3 linked regions of the Notamacropus eugenii genome follow. The protein of the gene in region 3 purifies or fractionates together with the protein of the main gene of each other region. This does not show direct contact. Links are inferred from orthologs where the notes say so. Each region holds a gene or a part of one and is shown on either strand. Other genes may lie near its edges.

Region 1 (7,515 bases), about 320 Mb from region 3:
ATCAAAATACCATTCAGCTGCTTCATAGGATTGTGATTAAAATTTATCAGGAATGACACCACCAAGGAAAATTATAGGGGAAATAAAAGATCTCAAAAGTAGTGGTCAAATCAAAATTTTTTTAAACTATGAAAGTAGATCAATGGAACAAAATAGAGAATACAGAACCAAAGGAATGTTAACAGAAGTGTGCTTGCGGAATGACAGATTTAGAGCTGGAACGGCCCTCTGAGGTCATACTTGACCACTTCTGTCATTTCTGAAATGGGGAACTGAGCCACAGAGTGCATAACTAGAAAACATAATGGGACAGGACTTTTTTCCCCAATAAAAACTGACAGGCCAAAACAACAAGAGGATAAGAGCCACATCTCATACCGGGTTTTTTTTGGTCTGGTCCTATAATTTCATTGGGAAATTGTCTTCACTAATGCAGACTGGCAAGTCATCTACAATGTTGTAGTCTTAGAGGTTTGCTTGGGATACAGTGACCTGGCCAGGATCAGTATGTCAAAAACAAGATCTGATCTCAGGCCATCCTGACTTTGAAGCTAAGCCTCTGAACACCATCTCGTGATGCCTCTTATGACACACCACAGTAAATTCCAAAAGTACCAATAAATGAAATATTTTGAAAATCATTAGAATTTACAAGTCATTCCCCAATTGATAAATGGTCAAAGGATATGAACAGGCAATTTTCAGAGGAAGAAATTAAAGATATCTATAATCATATGAAAAAATGCTCTAAATCACTATTGATTAGAGAGATGCAAATCAAAACAACTCTGAGGTACCACATCACACCTATAAGATTGGCAAACATGACAGAACAAGAAAATGATAAATGCTGGAGAGGATGTGGGAGAGTTGGAACACTAATTCATTGTTGGTGGAGCTGCGAGCGCATCCAACCATTCTGGAGAGCAATTTGGAACTATGCCCAAAGGGCTACAAAAATGTGCATACCCTTTGACCCAGCAATATCGCTACTAGGACTATATCCCCAAGAGATCATAAAAATGGGAAAGGGTCCCACATGTACAAAAATATTTATAGCAGCACTCTATGTAGTTGCCAAAAACTGGAAGTCAAGGGGATGTCCATCAATTGGGGAATGGCTGAATAAATTATGGTATATGAATGTAATGGAGTACTATTGTGCCATAAGAAATGATGAACAAGAAGACTTCAGAGAGGCCTGGAAGGACTTATATGACCTGATGCTGAGTGAAAGGAGCAGAACCAGGAGAACTTTGTGCACAGCAACGACCACAGTGTGTGAGAGTTTTTTCTGGTAGACTTGGAATTTTGTAATAACGCAAAAACTTCTTATAAAAAAAAAAATCCCAAAGGTGGTTCTCAAGGCAAACTGCCTTCCACACTCAGAGAAAGAAATATGGAAGTCACTCACAAAATGTAGCAGATCATGTCTGTGTATGTGTATGTGTTTGTGTATCATGTTCTGATTTGTTATACGATTTCTTTCATTTATCTTAGTCTGACTACATAGCATGACTATAGTGAAAATATACTCAATAGGAAAGTATATGTAGAATCTATACAGAATTGTATGCAGTCGTGGGGAGGGAGGGGGGTAGTGGGGGGTAGGTGGGGGGGATAAAATCGCAATTGTATGGCAGTGATTGTTAAACATTAAAAAATAATTTAAAAAAAATCATTAGAATTGTAGGAAACAACAGGACATCATTGTGGACAAGGCAAAACATTCTTGGCCACTGCTGATTTCAGCTGGGTTTCCCCTCCACCTGGTGATTCAGGGAATTCCCTCGGACTCACCACTGTTTGCTCGTGCTGCTCAAACTTCAGACTAACGTTCTGGATCCAGAAGAAGCCGAAGGAGCCTATCTTGAGCTCGGCTTGGAGACTTCGATGACACCACTTGGTGGCCAATCGAATCAGAAGCCACCTGCCAAAAGATGCTGGTGAGCACTAGGTGTCTGTGGGACTCTGCAGACATGTGGGCTGGCAGAAGGATCTCATGAGTGTTCTGGTCTGTGGACTAGGCTTCCCCAAAGTTTCTATTTTCTCCTTCCCCTCCTGGTGGGTCCAGCCCAAAGAGCCATCCTGCTTCAGGCACTTGCTACGGGGGCAACTCTGGGAATGCCCCGGTGAAATGAGGGGGGACTCGATGATCCTGCTGTGCCACTGACTATCTGGGCAACCTCTCTGAGCCTCAGTTTCCTCGGCTGTGAAGTGACAGACTTCTGGCTCTGGAGCCCCAGCGCCTCAGGGGTCTGGCCTCCAGACCCAGGGTCTAGGTGAGGGGCCCCCATGCTCCCATCGCCCTGAGAAAACCAGTGGATTCAGGGCTCCCCAGATCTCCCCCCAGCCCTCCGAGGTGGACTGGGGAACTCCCCCCTGCTCCCGGCCCACCGTTAGAACTCAGGCTGCACGCGGAAAAAGGGACCACAGCCTCCCTGGAAGGGAGGACCCCGCCGCTCTGGGGCCACCCAAGGGCGGCCTGGGGGTGGTCGGGGCCAGGCAAGGGCGAGATGGACCAGGTACTCCCCCCAGAAAAGGGGCGAGAGGGAAGGCTGCGTGGGCTTGGGGGAGGGGAGGGCGAGCCCGGGAGGTGGGCAAGGGGCCCAGTGACCCCTGCAGTGCAGCAGAGGAAACTGAGGCGGAGGAGGAGGGCAGCACCCGGACGCGGCAGGCGGTGCCAAGGTCTGTAGGGGCGGGGGACTTGCCCAAGGTCACCCGGAACCCAGAGCACCAAACCAGGGGCTCCCCTCCCACAGCCCACGGGTCCTCCCCTTTCCCTGGAGCCCCTCCCCAGCCCGCGCGCCCCCGCCGCCCGGCCCCTCCTCCGCGCGCGCCCCCGCCGCCCGGCCCCTCCCTCCGCGCGCGCTCCCGCGGCCCCCTCGCCCCTCTCTCAGCCCCAGCGGCCCCTCACCGGCAGAAGAAGAGGGTGCAGAGCACAGCCACGAGCAAGGCCAGCAGCACGGCCAAGAGCAGAGACATAGCGGCCCCCGCGGCCCCGGCCCCGGCCCGGCCCCCGCGAGTTCCGTGCGGAGGCTCCGAGGGCCGACTAGCCGCCTGCGCGGGGGACGGCGCGAGGAGGAGACGCCGCGAGCTCCGCCCAGGCCCGGCCCGGCGCCTCCCAACCCTCCCCCCCGCGGCGCCCGCCGCGAACGAGCGAAAGCGCGAGGGAGGCGGAAGGGGGCGGAGCCAGAACGCGCTCCTCTCCCTTGCCCCGCCCGCCCCCTCAGCCTCGGCTTCCCTGCTCGAGGCTCCGAGGCCAGAGCCAAGAGGAGACACGTCCCTCCTTCTAGCCCCGCCCCCTAACCAGAGTTCCGGCCCCGCCTCTTTCCCCGCCAGCCCCCGGCCGGCAGGTTCTGCCGGACCTCCGCTCGGGCCTGCACGGCTCGCTAGCCCTCCGCCGGCCCCGAGGGCGAGTCCCAAAAAGCGGCCTTAGAGGTGGGCTCCAGCCCCTCGCTTTGGCCGGCTAGGGGAGGGGGAAGCACCCCGAGGTCAAAGGGGTGGCGATGCCCTGCGCTAGCCCGGCCGTGGGCCAAGCCCCTGGGTGCCCTGGCCCCCCCCCTGCAGGATGGCGGCCTTGGCATTCCTGCCTCGTCCGGCGGCCGTGGGGGACGGGAGCCTCCCGGCTCTCCCGGTCCCAAGTTCTAGGGCGAGCTCACGTTACTCAGCGGGGAGCCGGGCGTCTCGGGGCCCCCTGGGGGTCCTGGCGTAACGTTTGAGGGGCTGGGGCCACCCTTGGCCCTGCGCTAGGAGGGCAGCGGAAGGGTCCGAACCGACCCAGGATCTTCTGCCTCCTGCTCCGGTTTCTGCCTCTGGGTACAAGTTGGATTGTACCATCCTAGTCTCCTCATCTTTTTTCTCCATCCGAGGAAAAAGAAATGAGACAACATATATAAGCTGGACAGCCCAACTGGCATCTTCCGGATAGAAAAAACGAAACCACCAAAAAAACCCCACAAGGCATTTTATGTGACCCTTTATAAGGTTAGCGTCGTCACCACAGTGGGGGGAGGTGCTGTTGTCACCGCCATTTTGCCTAGGAAGAAACTGAAACGAAGCTTAAATGACTTGCCCAGGGTCACTTTGGATCTGAAGCTGCATTTGCACCCAGGTGTCTGTGTCTTCTAGTCTAGCACTCTATCCACTGGGCCACCTAGTTACCTAGGAGTGTTTGTAGCACGCTGGATGGATCTGTTCATCAGCTATGAAGAACCTAGTTACCTAGGAGTGTTTGTAGCACGCTGGATGGATCTGTTCATCAGCTATGAAGAACCTAGTTACCTAGGAGTGTTTGTAGCACGCTGGATGGATCTGTTCATCAGCTATGAAGAACCTAGTAACCTAGGAGTGTTTGTAGCACGCTGGATGGATCTGTTCATCAGCTATGAAGAACCTAGTAACCTAGGAGTGTTTGTAGCACGCTGGATGGATCTGTTCATCAGCTATGAAGAACCTAGTTACCTAGGAGTGTTTGTAGCACGCTGGATGGATCTGTTCATCAGCTATGAAGAACCTAGTTACCTAGGAGTGTTTGTAGCATGCTGGATGGATCTGTTCATCAGTCATGGAGAACCTACTTGCTTAGGAATGTTTGTAGCATGCTGGATGGATCTGTTCATCAGCTATGAAGAACCTAGTTACCTAGGAGTGTTTGTAGCACGCTGGATGGATCTGTTCATCAGCTATGAAGAACCTAGTTACCTAGGAGTGTTTGTAGCACGCTGGATGGATCTGTTCATCAGCTATGAAGAACCTAGTTACCTAGGAGTGTTTGTAGCACGCTGGATGGATCTGTTCATCAGCTATGAAGAACCTAGTAACCTAGGAGTGTTTGTAGCACGCTGGATGGATCTGTTCATCAGCTATGAAGAACCTAGTTACCTAGGAGTGTTTGTAGCACGCTGGATGGATCTGTTCATCAGCTATGAAGAACCTAGTTACCTAGGAGTGTTTGTAGCATGCTGGATGGATCTGTTCATCAGTCATGGAGAACCTACTTGCCTAGGAATGTTTGTAGTATGCTGGATGGATCTGTTCATCAGCTATGAAGAACCTAGTTACCTAGGAGTGTTTGTAGCATGCTGGATGGATCTGTTCATCAGTCGTGGAGAACCTACTTGCCTAGGAATGTTTGTAGCTTGCTGGATGGATCTGTTAATCAGCTGTGGAGAATTTGGACATAAAGGATGAGAAAGCCTGGAGGGGGTTGTGGTCTTCACTTTGAAAGAGAAACACCGATGAAGCTTTGAGTCATTCAAAGTATCAAAATAGAGATAGCAAACTCTGCATTTAATTCATTTACTCTGGGGAGTATCTTATTCTGGCCAGCTGTTGTTGATGGAACTAAGTGAATTCTTCAAATTCTGTTCACTCACAAGATGTTAAGCATCCTTGTGCACAGCATGGCATTACATAGTGTGGAGGGTACGAAGTAGGGGCTCTGGTTCATGCCCTTCAGGAATCACTGAGAAATCATAATAGACATAGATGAAATAAGCCGAGTTTAATTCCTGGGTAAATATATTCAAGTGCCTGACTGCAGCGAGTACCAAGAGCTCAAAGAGGAGCATGATGGGGACACTGTTTTGTGGGCTAGCCTCTTTTCTATAAATATCCACTGTCTTATCCAAAAGCATTTCCCTCTGATAGTTTCCCCTGATAGTACATTCTCCTGTTCTATTATCAGCCCTCTAACAAGTTTTGTGTCCAGTTACTGATTCCTGGTAAAACAGGCAGAGGCAGCTCAGCTGTCCCTCTGATCCCTCCCCACTTTTCTGGCACTTTGCCTCCTCACTTGCAATCTATTCTTCCTCCCCCTTCCTCTTCTAGCCAGCTGGTCACTTGTTTAGTTAGCTCTGCCTTTGCTTTTCCAGTCCACTCTTGCTTCCTTTTCTCCAATCATTCCTTTGGTTGCTGTCTCTTCTCTATAATATCCTGTTACATTTGACCCTTCTCTCTCAAGACTTTTCTTCCCAGAAGATCTGGACAGTTAAACTGGAGAAATGGGAAGATTTTCTGTAAATCAGAACTTCTAAAGTTGTTCTAGTGAAGTTCTCACTATGATATCTTACTGGATTGTGTCACTGGGAAAGGGACCAAATCTTAACATCTCAGACGGGGAGATCGGGCACAGAGTTCACATTCTCCAAGTAAAATGGAAAGGCTGCAAAATGAGTGAGTGGAAAAAAGCCATCCTAAAATAAAGTGTCTAACTGTATCCCTTGGAATCCCAACAGATGGCAGCCACCTCCCTTCCACCCCCATCACACTTCTGGAATGCAGTGGAATGAAGAAGTCCAACATCCCAGAAGCCACTTGCTTTGGGATTATGAGGGAGGCTGAAGACAAGAAATGACTATTTGTTCCCAAACCGAAGTCATATGATCACCTTCAAATACTTGGCATTTGCCCAGTTTGGTCAGGGAAGTAGATAAACGTATGACTACTGAACTTATCAACAATTGTGGGTCCAGGCTGCAGCAATTCACTAACTATTGAAATTATTATTAAATAACTAATTATTAGTATTGGGAAGGGCCAGGATTTTTTCCCTTCCTCATTTGGAGGGTAGGTCAAAACGTAGTTCTCTGAAGGGCAGTTAGATGAAATCTTGGAATTGTTGCCCCACCCACCTAGAGACCCTTAAGAAGAATTTAGTCTTAAGGTGAATTTGGGCCAGTGGTGTTCTACTTAGGCTTGGGTGGGGGGTAGATCCTTTGTCTAGATTGCCTGAGGCTGGGAGTGGTCTGGGAGCAAGAGTGAGCAGAGTCATGTCCCCCAGCTCCTCCTTAGGATGAATTCACCTCTCACTATAGTATTCATTCTTCTCATTAATTGTTAATCAATTCCAGTTGATTGACACCCTCAGGGAACACCAACTCTTGCAAGGACATATTGAGTGGGTTCCATGAGGGGTCTTTGGCATTCTATAGTACCACTGATCTCTTTTATTAATTATCCACGAGCAATGATTAATTACCCAGAAACTAGGTCTCAATTTTTTATACAAAACACCATTAAGGCAAACCAATTGGAGGTTATCATCCATAAGGATTTGGACTTCTAGCCAATGGGCATGAGTTTGAAGTTAAGGAAAAAGAAGACCTTACAAGGTCAATAGCTGAGAATCCCTAGTAATTTCAAAAGCCTTACAGCAGTAAACAACCCTATCTGAAGTGTGACTCCTAATTAAACGACCACTTAAAGACTGAGAATCAAATTTTTATTTCTCCTGAGAAAAAGCATATATTGGAGACTGAAATCCATAATAACGGATTATTATGACAAAGCATCCAAATGAGGGGAATCTCCCATCTCTGAGAGATGTTTCTTTTATTATTTCTTCCACTTTTATTTGTTCTAAATGGATGAAAAGATCAGTCCCACCACTGGCAATAACTCCCATATTTAGGAGGTGAAGCCAAGTCCAGGATAAGGATAGATGTTGGCAGGGAGGGAGCTGATGCTCTTAAGGAACCTTGGAAATTTCCCACTTTGGATGATGAGGCTGAG
Region 2 (7,689 bases), on a different chromosome or scaffold from region 3:
CTTGGGGAGCAGAGATTGCTATATAGGCAGGATCTGCTCCAGGACGGTTCTTGAAGACTGGGGAATTCTGTCAGGAAAATTCACTTCAAACTCAATAATGAGGTCCCCACGTTTCTCTGGTGTTTTGGGGAGGGGAAGGCCTTCTCCAGGCACCTTTCGCCTCATTCCGGGCCTGATGACATCCTTGAACACTATCGGTATGGTCCTGCCATCCAGCGTTGGGACATTCACTGTACAGCCACACAGGGCCTAAAAGCAAAGGCATATAATTAAATAGATGAACAACTAAGAGGGAGAGAATTCTTCTCTAAAGACAGATTCTAGGGCTTACAAAGATTTTGACTGGGTAAGGATGACTAGCTTTCCCTTCAACTTGTCTTATATGAACCCCTGTACTGTTTCCAGAAAGTGTGGCACAGATCTGCATGACTAACCACATACAGGCAATCAAAACATGTGATTCCTCTCTAGATTGTGCTGAGAGATGTTTATGTCTCCAGCAAGGGAGCATAGTAGATACAGACAGTATACTAAACTTAGAATAAAAAGACCTGGGTTTCATTACTGATGGTTACTTTCAAGCCACAAGTCTCTTTCTCTAAGGTCACTGAAGTCCAGAATCCCGTTACTATAAACCACAGCTGTATGTCTATAAAGATCCTGCCTTACCTCACGGAGGGTGATCCTTGCTGGGTAAATCACATCAGACCCATCTCTCTTAAATATGTTGTGTGGCTTGTCCTTTAAAACAAAGACAATGTCAGCTGGAATGTTGGTTGAGGTTTGGTCCCCCTCTTTTGGGAAGGTAATCTTGGTCCCCTCTTTCCACCCTCTTTTCACTTCAATGGTCAGGATCTTGTCCTCATTGCGGATGCTCTTCCCATCGGGGTTAAGCCGCTTGTGGGAGATCTTCATCTTTTTGGTACAACCACTATAGATCTCCTCAAGTGAGACCCGGAGATCGTGGGTAACCGGGGGATCCTGTTTTCGGCGGCTGTGTTCCTGGGCTGGACGAGGTCGGTTAAAGTTCATATTGGTAAAGGCACCCATGCCCATTGGGAAGCCAGAAAATGGGTCATCAACATCCATGCCTTCTTCCCCGTTTCGTTGACCAAAAAAGGTGTCAAAAGGGTTTCGGCCACCAAAGAACTCAGCAAACATGGCATGAGGGTCCCCATGGAAAGTGTAGCTGAAGGAAGCACCGTTAGGACCAACACTGCTACCACTACTAGGGCCACCACCCTTCAGTCCTGAAAAAGGAAAAACGAGAATTCAAATTGTTGGCCAAAGAAAATAGCTCTTCTTGCTCTAGAACTCCTTCTTCTTCCCCAGTCAAGGAGAGAGAACTTGGGCATCATTAGACAAATAGAAAGCATTGTTTTTTTGCCCCACTTTCTATACTCCTATTTTTCCTATTTAGACATGATCTTATTTCAAGACAGACAGTATGTTAGCTATCAATAGGATGAAGATGCTAGATTTTTGCATCCTAGCCTTGGGCTGCCTAGTCTGTGAGGGAAATTGCTGGACCGTATTTTAGTGCTAACCTGAGAAATAAGGAAGAATTTAACAGAGTGTTATTAACTTCTATTCTTGTCTAGATTTCAGCTGGTTACTCCTTGAGGTCAAGATATACAAGGTATCCCAAAAGTTTTAATGCAATTTTAAGCTCTACTAGCTTAAGTATTCACTAAGACTTCTGTTGAGCTCTGTATGAGCCTTCTTTCTAAATGGCAAAATATGCTATTTTCAGTTGCTTATAGTTAGCCCTTTTAAAGAATGGCTACTATTTGATCCCGATGCCTTTTGAGCCTTGACTACCACATAAGTATTTTAAAACCTTTCCCCTGTGCTTTTAAGGTCTATAAAATGCTTGGGAAAACAATGTTACTAGAGTTGGAAAAAAATCCCCATCCCCCCTTTTTCAAAGCACTCTTCAACTAGCCCGAGCCTCAGCTCTGCAATTCCTGATTGTGATATGTTTCACATCCAAGACATCTACATCTTTTTCTTACTGGAATAAGGTAGGGAAATGTCCCCAGGTTAACTACTGGATTCAGGAGTTGACTTCAGCCATCATTAATATTCTCATGTGAAAGCAAAGGAGGTGCATTTCCAATATATCCTCCAGGGGAATGGAGCTAAGGGAAGTCATCAAACAAGTTTGCTAAGGCGTGGGGAGGAAAAGTAGACCCCGCCTAACATACTAGTAGATGCTTTGCTCACACCCACAGGCTGGGGAAGGCCCACAGTAAAACCTTAAGATCTCCCTGCCTCTGGTCTAACTTCTCTCGGGGAATGACTAACAAACATGCTAGAAGGTTCTGCGGACATGACAGCCAGCTGCTGAGCCAGCCAGGTCTCCACCTCTCATCGAAAGGCTGCCAATCGGAATGCAGGGCAGTGTAGCCAATGGGTACGGGGGTCGGGGGGCCAGCAGCCCCACCGGGGACGAGGAGGGAAAAAGTAACTCTTGCTCATTGCAAAACCCACAGCAGGCCCCGGAGGCGAGCAGGGGGCGAGCAAACGTCAGAGGTTCCCCGTCCCCCGGGAGGGAGGCTCCGGGCTGACGGCGCAGGCTCGCAGGAGCCAGGCCTCGCCGCGAGCGCCGTCCCCTGGGCCCGGCGGCTCCTGGTTTTCCGGGGGCGGCCTCCTGCAGCGCCGCCCGGGCCTCTCCTGGATGAGCCTGCTCCCACTTCCGCGGGCCCCTGACTCACCCTCCTCCCCGTAGCGGTCGAAGATGTCCCTCTTGCGCGGGTCGCTGAGCACGTCGTAGGCCTCGGCGATCTCCTTGAACTTCTCCTCGGCGCCCGGCTCCTTGTTCTTGTCCGGGTGGTAGCGCAGCGCTTGCCGGCGGTAGGCTCGCTTGATCTCTTCGTCCGAGGCGCCCCGGGCCAGGCCCAGCGTCTGGTAGTAATCCTTACCCATGACCCCCACCCTCCCGCCGCCGTCCTTACGGCTCCGCCGCCGCCCCGGCCCGGACGCTATATACCCGCCCGGCGGAAGCTTCCAGAGCCCGCCAGCCCTCTCCAGAACCTTCCGCTCCGCCCCTCGCGCCGCACTGCCCAATCCTGGGCGGCCGAATCGCAACACGTGACCCTGGGGCGGGGTAGGATCGTCAACGGTTGCGGGCTCGAGACGCACTCCTCCGCCTTCTTTGCTCCTCCCTTTTGCAACGCCCCCGCCCCCCACCGAGCGCGAGTCAGTTCTCCCGCGGCCTTCTGGGACCCTCACCTAGTTCAACCAGCCCCGCCCCCACTGCCCCGCCCTCCTGGAATTTCTATTTTTCCAGGGTGTCGAAGACTCAGTCTCAGTGCTCTGCCCACACCTGAGGATCAGAGCAAGCCCCGCCCCTCGGCCAGGCTGTCCCGCCCCTTTGTCTGGGTTTCAGTCCTAGATCCTGGCTTTTAAGAGAGCTGAAAGAGACTGGTGATCTGATCAGATCTCCTTGAATAGAAAAAGAAACTGAGGCTTGGAGAAGGCAAGATCGTTAATTCTGGGCTTATTTTTTGTCTCCTCCTAACAGACAGAAAACCTTTAATAAATGTTTGCTGTCTTAAAAGTGTCTAGTAAGTGGCAGAAGGAAGAAGAATCTGCCTTTTCCCACTCCAAATTCGGAGCTTTTTCTAATAGTATTCAGTTTTTCTCCTCTGACACTGCCACCACCTTGGTGCAAGCCCATCACCCGGACTGGTGGGTCTGCCTCAAGTCTCTCTCCACTCCAATATCATCTTCACTCAATTCAACTGCAAAAGCGACCTTCCTAAAGCTCAGATCTGACTATGTCACACACCCTGTCGTTCCCTGTCACTTTCAGTATCAAATAGAAAATCCTCTGGCGTTTAAAGTTCTTCAGAATCTAACTCCCTTCCTCACCTTTCCATGTTTTTTTTTTTAACACTTTGTGTCCTGAACCACTAACCATATACTCTCTTTGATCCACAAACAAGACACTCCATCTCTCAGCTCAGAACATTTTCTCTGGCTGTCCCCCAGGCCTAGAATACTCTCTTCTCTTCACCTTTTCTGGCTTCTTTCAAGTTCCAATTAAAATCCCATCTTCTACAGGAAGCCCTTCCCAATCCCCCTTAAAACTAGTACATTCCCCTCTATTTGTTACCTACAATTTATCTTGTATTATAGCTTTTTGTATATCGTTGTTGGCATGTTGTCTCTCCTTGAGAAGGAGGGCTGTTTTTGTATCATCAGGGCTTAACACAGCCTGGCACATAGTAGGCATTTAATAAATGCTTGTTTACTTATTAAGTGCTTACTGTGTGCCAGGCATAGACAAAAAAGCAAACAGTCTCTGCCCTCTAGGAGCTTCCATGCTATTGAAGTGGAGGGGAAGAGAATAAGGTAGAGAAGTAAATGCAAAATATATACAAAATAACAATAAAGTGGGGGCATTAAAAAAGTTTTATTTTTTTGGTAGGAAGTGGCGCTAAGGCTGAGCACTGAAGGAAGTCTGAGATTTTTAAATGTAGAAGGGACAAGGGACAGAATTTCTTGCCTGGGAGACAGCTTGTTGCAGAAGCAGGAAAGTAGACATGTCTATTAAGAGAACATCATCAAATAGTTGAATCTGGTTAGAATTGGGGGTGGGGGGAGAGAAAGAGGTGAAATCAGTTTAGAAATGTAAGCTGGAGCCTGTGAAGGGCCACAGGAGTCTGCATTTTATCCTATGACAATAAGGAACTTATGAAACATCTCAAGCAGGTAAGAGACATGGTCAGACCTGTTCATTAGGACAGAATTTGGCAATGGTGTGGAGGAAGAATTGCAGAAAGGAGAAAGAAAGGAGAAAGGCAGGGAGAGAGCAATTAGGGAGGCTATTGAAGTAGGTAAGGCATGTGGTAATGGGTGGATAGCTTGTAGCTTGGATGAATCTATAGGTGGGAATTCATATCTGCAACTGACTGGATATGAAGGGTGAAAGAGGGGAACAAACTGGGAATGACTGTAAGGGTGAGAATATGGGTGACTTGGAAGGACTACATACAATAGGATTCCGATTCAACAAATATTTGAGGGAGAGCATCCTGGAGCTGATTCCCTTGATCCTCCCAATCTCCATCACAGTACTCAGTTCCATTTCTATGCAATGACTTTTTCTCTTCATAGAGAAAAAAGAATTTGACCCCTCTCACCCAACTGGGAAACATCTGAACCAGACTCAAACCCAGGTCCTGATTCCATCTTTAGTGCACTTTGCTCCACATATTGCTTTTCTGAATTTGTTGAAGAATCAGGATTATGCTATTTAGTTCATTTAGTCCAGCCTTCATTTGAAAGATGAGAAAACTGAGGTCCAGAGAGGATGAATGACTTGCTCAGGCTCATAAAAGTAGTAAGTAAAGAATAAAAACCTGAGATCTCTCCAACCTCTGATTTAGAAGCTTTTACCCCTTTTCAGTGGAAAGGCGTACCTCAGGAGGACAACAGTAACACCAGTAGGCATTTATAAATCACTTGAAGGCTTGCCAAAGTACTTTACAGATATTATCTTATTTGACCTTCAAAAAGAAGTCTCTGAAGTAGGTGCTATGATAATCCTCATTTTACAGAGGAGGAGACTAGAGGTTAAGTGACTTGGCCATAAATACTAAGTATCTCAGGCCTTTCTGACTCCAGGTCTAGTACTCTGTCCACCACACTACTTTCAGAATCCCTCATATTGAGGTCTGAACTCTGAAAAGGTTAGTTCTTGCCCCTTTAAACTATATTGTGGAAGATTCACTTCTAGTTCATATATTTAGGCTAATCCTTGGACCTGGCCTCTGAAGGGAAGTCTGAAGAACTGGAGAGAGGTTGGATTGGTGAGAAAAATTAGTTGGATAAACATCCAGTTACCTGGAGTGAAGTTGGTGCAACCATGTAGCCTTGTCAGGGAAACTTGTTCTCTAGGGAACATTGTAGCATTCAGGATGTGGCCTGAAGAGGGCCTCCAGGACCAAATGAAGAACTCCAGAAAGCCTGGCAGGGTGGAGCAGTGGAGTTCCTGGATCAACTTTGGGTCCATTACAGAGGGTTTGGTAATGGACAAGTCCATGATATGAATTTTGCCCTTCACTGATACTATAAATTATGTGGACTGTGCAGGTTTGAGTAAAGGGGTTAGTGCCCTAGCAACACTAAGTACTTTAACCATTTGAGGAAGTTCTCAACCCCTACGTGGTTATTTGTGTGTGCGTGTGTGTGTGTGTGTGTGTGTGTGTGTCCTTCATTGCCGAAAAAGACCATGCCATCAGAGAAATAATGACATGACTTGCACTTGACTTTGTTTTGAGTGAAGGAGGGCTGCACAGGTCACCAGCCTCACTTCTTCTCCAGAGCCATCTAAATCCAGTGACCAGATATTCATCAGGATGACTGGAGATGACCCAGGATGAGGCAACTGGGGTTAAGTGACTTGCCCAAGGTCACACAGCTAGTGAGTGTCAAGTGTCTGAGGTGAGATTTGAACTCATGTCCTCCTGACTCCTGCACTGGTGCTCTATCCACTGCACCACCTTAGCTGCCCCAAGCTGGTACTATAAATTTGGAGGAATATATAGATCCCTGAGAGAGGGAAAACATCTTGGAGAGGGAAGGATGATGGTCTTGACTGTAGATGACCTGGTGTACAAGTCCTCTGCAATTTCTGTAGGGTTAAATAAAGTCTGTTTTATATGCCAAGTTTTGTTAGCCTGAGTGCTTTCAAGGGAGCTATATAGGTCTTTCCCCTTTTATTTTTGGTGGGGAGAATTCTAGACATGATCCAAATCCCAAGGGAAATCCTTAAGTTTAAAGATTTTAAGCAGGAGCCAAAAGGAGTAATATTTAGTAAGAGAAGCTCCTAATATTGAAGCTAGTCCATGTAAACACAGAGCTTCTGTTCTGGGGCACAGGTAACAAAATTATGACATCTGTGTCAAGACAATTGAGCTCTCTAATCCTGGCTCTGCTTCTCTTGAGAGACATAACACTGGATAAGTAATTTAATCCCTTGGTTTCCTCATTTGTAAAATGGAGATAATACTTGCCAAACTTATTGACTATGTTTGATGCATAATCAAATAAAATAACATATTTGAAAGCTTTGAAAAAATCATTATTTCGTGTTGTGGTTTGTCCTTCATCCTCAAAGAGAACCATGACATCAGGGAGATGATGACATGACTTGCAATTGACTTTGATTCAAGTGAGGGAGGGCTGTGCAAAGTCACCAGCCTCACTTTCTCCTCCAGAGCCATCTGGGTCCAGTGACCAGATATAGATCAGGACTGGAGATAGCCCAGGATGCAGTGGGAGACCTTGGCCCTTTTAAGCTAAAGTCTTTTCAAGTTCTTGCTTTGAGTGATGTAATGCCCATTATAATGAATAGGCCTCTTTAAGAAGTGAATCAAGGGATGGTCCCTCTGATAAAAAAAAAAAGAAAAAAAATCAAACTAGGAAGGGACCTTAGGGTTGCTGGTCAAAATATTTCAACATTTATATAAATAGTCCTAATCTCTCATCTGAGATCCAATCTTATTTCTCCAAGTGCCTGTTAGACATCTTTCCCTGTACCTCCTGCTGACACCTAAAACTCAAATTAAGTACTATACTATAGTCATCATAATTTCCCAAACCTTGAGTAGCCTAGTGCCTGGCACACAGTAAGCACATAATAAATGCTTGTTTCTTTCCTTTCCCTCTAACCTTTCT
Region 3 (7,133 bases):
TCCGAACCTAAGTCCAGGAACAGGAAAACCAGCTGGCTCCCCAAGTGCCCAGTACTCAGATCTACTTTTAAAAAAAACGGTCCCTTCTATGAATAAACTGGTTTCTGATTGGTCAGAACACACAATAGGGTTGGCCTTTAAGCCAATCGGAGTGCTGGTGGTTGGGAATGGACCTGAGCAACTGCCAGTCAACTGGCCCAACATTCATCAAAAATTATTTGCTTTATCCTATGTATGGGTCTATGAGGTGATGTAGAGAAGGAGAAGGGGAAGGTCTTGAGTGTGTGGTCTATTTTTTTTAATGTAATCATTTTCAGCAATTCCGGAACTTTAAAGTAAGTAAGTTCAAATAATTTGTTGCTATTCAGGGTTCAGGACTCCTAGGGGTCTATCCCTCCCACAAACCTCACTGATGTTCCCGTGAGCTTTTATTCATTTATCTTTAGTTCCAGTCTCACTACACAGACAAACAGAAGTGGAGTCTGAATACTCTTTATAAATATAAATTCTGTGTGTGTGTGTGTGTGTGTGTGTGTGTGTGTGTTATACAACATACTATCTGAAGCAGGCATGAAAAACTTTCAGTTTCCATTCAGCAATAAATTGAACAGGAGCATTATATTGTTACATAGGTATGAGTGTATACATACACACACATAATATCAAAACGTCTGTATATATACATATACATGTATGTGTATACACACACAAATATTATAGACTGTTCCTGTTCGACATTGCTATGGAGCAACTGAAAGTCTTTCATGATCGCTTTTTGAGGCAGTTAAATAATTTATTTGCTCTCAGTAAGATGAAGTCACTAGTATGATGACTGGCTTGGTGAAACAAATCCAGGTACAGTGATTCTTAAGGACATAACTCTCCTCATTTCTCCCTGCTCAGGTTCACAGATTTGGAACCAGAAGGGACTCTAGAGGCCCTGTAGGTGAAGGAAGCTGTTTAAATGACCACTGACTTTCAGATGTGTGTAAACAAGAATCTATTCTTTAATAAGGAAGAGAAGGAACAACTCAAAGCCCAGACTTACCCTTATAATACCTCCTATAGAAGCCAATCTGCTGTACATCCCTAGAGGCATCAAACAACAGCTATGCTGCTTTACCACAGAGCCCTCAGGGTAGGCGGGATGTCAACATGGGTAGCCCACTCAAGCAGTCACGAAGATAATGCTTGTATTCTATAGGAAAATGTGAACCTGAGAACGTGAACCACTAGAATTTTAAGCTACGTTATCAGCTCCTTGATTCCTAATACGATGAAGCTCTTCTAGAGGCAAGAGGAACCAAGAATCTCTGCGTAGAATCTCAGTCTATTCTATAGCAGATATTAGCCTTTCGGACTAAAATAGCTTTCATTTCCGCTTCTTCAGGAAAAAAAGAACACTGCCAGAAGGACAGAGCACAAAATAAGTAGTTTCATTTTCCCTTGGAGACCTGGTTAAGAAAATGAAACCTAATGCCCATTTTAAACATGACAACTATTGATGCCTAGACACCAGAGAATTCTAGAAAACCCTTACTTTGCCCCCTGCTGGGACAGTGCTAGCTCAGCAGCAAAGACAGGTGGCAATGATGAAAAGATAACCTTTTCCTTGAGCCAAAGGAGTGCCTGGCCCCAGTGGACATACCCAGCACATCCATATACACAAACACAGCCTCACAAAATCAGCCCAAGGGATGTTTCCCACTTTGTTCCCAAGTGAACTGACCCCGACCAGTCAGGAAAGTGGCTACGTCAGCATGCAAAAGGAGATTTCTAGGGAATGTCCCCAGTTCCTGTTCTCCAATATGGATGAGAGGGAGATACAGGTGACTGGGAGGAGAGAGGGTGAAACTTGTATAAATAGGAAGACAACCTCCTAGGATGCTGAACTCTTCAGCCCCATCTCATTTTCAGCACTGAATCTCCAAACTTCCATTCTGACCTGGTTAAACTTAGTTAATCATGGAGGGCTGGGTCGGTGTACAGTTAGGAGGAAGGCCTATGGACTACTGCTTCCCACTTTGCAATTCCTTAGAAGAATGGATCACGTTTATTCTAACTTCTCAGCTGACTAGAGGACAGGACTGAGGCCAGCCTTGGGGGGTCCTTTCCCACTATGGTACCTGGGCCCTGAGTAGAGTTAAACTGCTCGCAGGTGCTTCGGTGTCTGCCATCACATCGAAATCTCAGGGTGTGAACTTTGGCCATCCTTTGATCCGAGTGAAAATTTAAGAAGGGCTAAATATTAAACTGACCCCACTGAAGGTACGCTTACGGCCAGGGCCTGGGTCACAGGCAGGGGCACCGGAGTCCAGCCCACAGCCTAGAAGCATCCCAAACGGGGCTCTGACTGAGAGTCACAGCAGGGGGAAGGCAGTTCAAATAACAGCCCTCAACAACGTAGCAGGGATCCGGGCCTTCCCAGAAAGACCTCCCGGGGGGCGGCGGAGGCCGGGGCTGGTCCTCTCGGGCCCCTGCCGCTGCCTGAGCCCCAGGACACTGGTGGAAGGGCGGGCAGAAGGGATCGGTGCCCCCCGCCCGATCCGTCCAGAACGTAACACCACGGAGCAAGGCAGGGGGCCGGGGCATGAATGGGCAGCGCGGGATCACCTCGCCGGTGGAGGGGCGGGCACCCGGCGGGGCTGAGGAAAGGGGGAGGAGCAGCGTGCGGGGAGGGGGCCTCCACCCCGAACCCCCCCCAACCCCCTATGAAGAGCTGGACGTCGAGACCCAGAGAGGCCAAGGGGCTCGCCCAAGGTCACACAGCAAAAGCTGCGGGGCCCGGCTGTGGCTGCGGGCGTCCGGAGGCTCTGGGTTAGGGCTCCCCCCCCCTTCCCAACACCTCGGGGAGCCGCGGGGGGGGGGGGGTCACGGCAGCCCGGATCATGACTCCCGCTCCCCCCTCCCCAGCCGCGCGAGGACAGGGCCCAGTCGGGCTGGGAGGGGTGGGGGTGGCGGCCTCCCCACCCCAGGAGCCGGGGCCCGCTCCCGCCCCCTCCCCGGGGCCCGCCGGCGCCCTCGTTACCTCCGGGCTTCCTCGTCGTCGGGCAGCTCGGGCTCGGGTTCGGCCGCCGCCGCCATTACCACATCGCACTCCGCGGCCGCCGCCATCTTACCGCCAGGGCTGGGGAGCCGGGTGGGGGGCGGGCGGTAAGGAGCACTTCCGGGCGCAGGAGCAACGAGCGGCGGCGCCGCGGCGGCCTGGGCGCGCCCAGAGAGGCTCTCTCGGGCTCGCCGGCCGGCGGGAGGGCGCGCGGGCTGCCAGAGCGGGGCCGGGCCGCGTCGGGGCGCTGGGGCCGCAGTGCGGGCCCACAGGCGGCCCCGGCTCATCGGGGGAGCCAGCTTGGACGAGCGTGCGGGGCGCCGAGCGGGGATCCGTGCTTGTCGCGGGCGCGGCCGCGCGCTCGGCCTCAGGGTTCCGAGGGCCCTGTCGCCATGGCAACGCCCTGGCGTTCTGCTCCCTGGGCTGGGCGCGAGAGACCAGGCGACTGGAGGGGCTCCGGGAGGCCGGCCAGCTGGGGGGCTGGCCTCCGGGGCCCTGCCCAGCCAAGCGGGGGGAACGCGGCCCGCTCCTTTCATCCCCGCCCGGGATCCCCGGGCGCGGCGGGGGCCTCCCCCTCACGACGCTCCGACCTGTTTTATGGGCAGCCTTTCATGTGGGCCGCCCGGGGGTGCCACCCGTGCTTTATGGGGGACCCCCACGCCCCTGCCCCATCCCAACGGCTGTCCCCACCCAGCGTGCACCACCCCACAGTGGGCAGTCATCCATGGGGTCAAGATTTAAAGTAACAGAAACGCCTGTAAATCCACCTGGTTTGAAGCGCGACTGATGGCGCCCCCAAACTGTATGACGCACTTGAGGACGGGGATGCACGGACTGACTGGGAGCCCCCGGGAGCAGGGCCCCAGCGCTTAGCCTGGTGCATCTAGGCCCTTTATAGATGCTAGTTGACTTCATTGGGGGGTTGGTTGGCCCGCATCCAGCTGAATGAATTCAGCGAGTTCAGCATTCAATGAAATGAACCACATTATGTGGAGGAAAGAGCTTTGGAAAGGCTCAGGGTTGAGAACTAGTTTTGCCACTAAATCCCTTGTGTGACCTTTATGTCTCATTTGGCAGAAAGATGGAGTTGGAGTAGGTGCTCTCTCCACCCAGTGTCCTTCCAGCTCTAAAATCTAGGATCCTCATAGAATTCCTGATTTAAGTTTCAACTCAGGTGTCAACTCCTAGAGGAAGCCTACTCTAATTCCCCACACCCCTCCAGTTACTAACTAGTACTCTCCACACAGAAATTACTTTGTATAGACTGTGTACATACTTCTCTCCACTCCTCAATATACTATATACTTCTCCAGGGCAGTGACGATTTCTATTTTTTTTTCCATCTACAATTCCTTCTGGGGGTATTCAATAGTAGGTAGCTAATGAGAGGTATTTAATAAATGCTTGGTTGAATGGATGAGTGAATCCTAATCAACTTGTACAGTTCTGCAAACAAATTAAGGGGAATGAGAGATTAGTACATCCTCTACCCCATATCCTTGACCTTGAGATTGCCAGGGCCTCCAGACTGGTCCCAGACTCTCACTCTTGTCCTTTTGGTGTTAAGAGCCTCGGAAATTTGTTGACCATCCTCTCCCTTCCCTTTTAGGGAAAAAAACCCTCAGCATCAGTTCTCTAGAGGGAAAAGATCTTTGATCCCCTCAATCACAGCTTGGTCCAGATGACTTCCACCTCATTCCTGGCGCCATGGCTCTAGAGGGAGCTGTGTTGCTTCTTCGCCATCCTTTTGCTTGCCTGGGCTTCTCTTGCGGGTTCACCGGATGTAGGAGGGTGGGGATGACTGGGAGGTCAAGGAAGGAAGTGGGAAGTTGCCTCTGTCGGCATCAGCTGCTGCTGTACTTAGGGACATTTACCCTAGGAGAGACCCCCAATAGGTAGGTAGCCTCTGTTCTTAGCTTGCTCCAGGGTGCCCTGGGCATCCTGGGTGGAGGGGTGGGTGCAGCATCCCAGGACCATAGACCACAGGGACAAATGGGGCTCAGAGAGCAGCTACTGCTCTCTCCTGGCAGAGTGGTAATGGGAGTCAAAGAACAGGACATAGGGTCTTCTTGATCATTTGGATTTCTCTTCTGGACCTTGACCATGGCCTGCTGCTCAGCTCCAATGAGACACTTCTTAAATAAACTCATGATTCTGTCACCTAAGGGCCCTGGAGTTTTCTTCCCCTTTAATCTCTTTACCTAGATTTTTCTCTTTGGGGGTCTCTCTGGTTCCACTACGGGATCATAGATTTACATATGGGACGTACCTTAGAAACTGCCTCCATGGGACTCTTCTTTGTCTAGGAGCCTGTCTCTGGTCTTTCTCTTTGTGTCCATGGACCCCTTACTGTGTCTGAGAGCCTCTCCTTGGAGGTATCTCTGAGTTTAACCTTTCATGGCATATCTCAGCAGCCCCTGCAATCTGCCAACACACACTGAAAGCCCCCTCCAATCCTTTCAGCTTTGGCTTCTTTAATCTTGACTAGCTTCTCTCCGTGCCATTGCTCTACATTGCTGGTCTGGCAGGCTCTAGGGAGCAAGATGGAGTGGTTCTCATAGAAAGCATTCCTTTCTTGGGCTTAACCCTAATGTCTGCCAAGTCCTCAATCAGTCCAGCCTAGCCAGACAATTGACTTTGGGATCATTTTTTCTTTTACATTGAAAGGAAGATGAAGGCTGAGATCTATAGATATTGTGGCCTTAGCAGATGGTCCCTTCTATATCCTAATACCCAGAGAGAGGGACCTATCCCTGAAGGTCACAGTACACCTCATCTCTCAATTCCTTCCCACCTACAAACCCATCATCCTAATGTTGTGAAGAGTCCTAATCCCCAGGGATTATGTGTCAAATTCAGAACTTGGGTTCTCAAGGCATCCCCTTTTGATCGTCCCTCCCCTGTTGTGTCTCCTCCTCTCCCCTGTTCTCCATCTCAGTGTAGCCTGTCTCCTCCCCAAAGTGGAGGTCTATCCATGGGGAAGAGCTGCAAAGTGGTTGTGTGTGGCCAGGCTTCGGTGGGGAAGACCTCCATCCTAGAACAGCTGTTGTATGGTAACCATGTAGTGGGTAAGTGCTGGGATTTTGGGAAAGGGTGTGAAAGGGGGAGAACAATGGAGGAGGGAAGGGGGCGTTAGATCTATAGTCCACGCACAAGCACAGCCCAAGGACCAGTTCTATGGATGTAGAAGCACATATACAAGACAACATCATATATGGAATCAGCCCTTGCAATGGAGTCAAAGGAAGAAAGCCCAGGGTTTGAAAATGGAGTAGAAAGAAAAGCAGGGTATTTGCACATTGCTAATTATGTGTCAGGAGGCATTATGGCATGTCAGAATTGACATGAGGGCTGACCTCAGAACCGGGAAACGCTAGGTTTAGTCTTACCTCTGACATGGAGTGGGACCTTGGGTAACTTATTTAATCTTTTAGTGCTCTGAACAACTTTTCTAACAGTTGCAGAGAAGTTACATCAGACTGAAATTGGTAGAGGGAGTTTCCTCACCTGAGAGTTCCCTATTCCAATGAAGTCACAGGCCCAGTCCCTATCACTAATTTAATATCAGAGTATACTAAAATGATTTTTAATGATCCCCTCATCCTTACCTTATAGTCTTCAGTAGCTCCCCTAATCCTTATTTTTTCACCTTTTCTCACACCTAAGTTACCCCCAGCTTGAAGAAAGCCCTAGTTGGGCTCTCAGGAAATACCCAGTTTTACTCACTCCTGTCCAAAAAAACAAATAAACTCATCCCATTCCAGGTTCTGAGATGATTGAAACCCAGGAAGACATCTATGTGGGTTCAATCGAGACTGACCGAGGTGTGCGGGAGCAGGTGAGATTCTATGACACCCGTGGCCTTCGAGATGGGGCAGAACTTCCCAAGCACTGTTTCTCCTGTACAGATGGCTATGTCCTAGTCTACAGCACTAACAGCCGAGAGTCCTTCCAGAAAGTCGAACTACTTAAGAAAGAGATTGATAAATCGAAAGACAAGAAGGAGGTATGAATCACCCCATCCTACACAACTCAGTCCCAGTCTTTCAAACCACCTTAGTAATGAAGACAGTTTTAAGAATAATGG

The links. Proteins that work in one complex are often made in the same cells at the same time.
Region 1: the proteins of DNAJC7 (region 3) and BLTP2 purify together in Homo sapiens (co-immunoprecipitation; 3 studies listed by BioGRID and IntAct, counting the BioPlex papers as one, with this or other methods). This does not show direct contact. The link is inferred for Notamacropus eugenii from reciprocal best matches to the Homo sapiens genes DNAJC7 and BLTP2.
Region 2: the proteins of DNAJC7 (region 3) and DNAJB1 purify together in Homo sapiens (affinity purification with mass spectrometry; 3 studies listed by BioGRID and IntAct, with this or other methods). This does not show direct contact. The link is inferred for Notamacropus eugenii from reciprocal best matches to the Homo sapiens genes DNAJC7 and DNAJB1.

The regions. Positions count from the first base shown.
Region 1 is NC_092873.1:36,056,464-36,063,978, forward strand, and holds the start of BLTP2 (bridge-like lipid transfer protein family member 2), read right to left. Parts: upstream 3,087-7,515; 5' UTR 2,986-3,086; coding exon 2,918-2,985; intron 1,931-2,917; coding exon 1,801-1,930; intron 1-1,800. UniProt on the Homo sapiens protein: Tube-forming lipid transport protein which binds to phosphatidylinositols and affects phosphatidylinositol-4,5-bisphosphate (PtdIns-4,5-P2) distribution.
Region 2 is NC_092875.1:76,444,155-76,451,843, reverse strand, and holds the start of DNAJB1 (dnaJ homolog subfamily B member 1), read right to left. Parts: upstream 3,087-7,689; 5' UTR 2,929-3,086; coding exon 2,718-2,928; intron 1,251-2,717; coding exon 670-1,250; intron 250-669; coding exon 19-249; 3' UTR 1-18. UniProt on the Homo sapiens protein: Interacts with HSP70 and can stimulate its ATPase activity. Stimulates the association between HSC70 and HIP. Negatively regulates heat shock-induced HSF1 transcriptional activity during the attenuation and recovery phase period of the heat shock response.
Region 3 is NC_092873.1:358,507,379-358,514,511, forward strand, and holds the start of DNAJC7 (dnaJ homolog subfamily C member 7), read right to left. Parts: upstream 3,208-7,133; 5' UTR 3,115-3,207; coding exon 3,029-3,114; intron 111-3,028; exon of another isoform or gene 1-110. Other genes in the region: NKIRAS2 (NF-kappa-B inhibitor-interacting Ras-like protein 2), read left to right, coding at 6,021-6,114, 6,811-7,052. UniProt on the Homo sapiens protein: Acts as a co-chaperone regulating the molecular chaperones HSP70 and HSP90 in folding of steroid receptors, such as the glucocorticoid receptor and the progesterone receptor.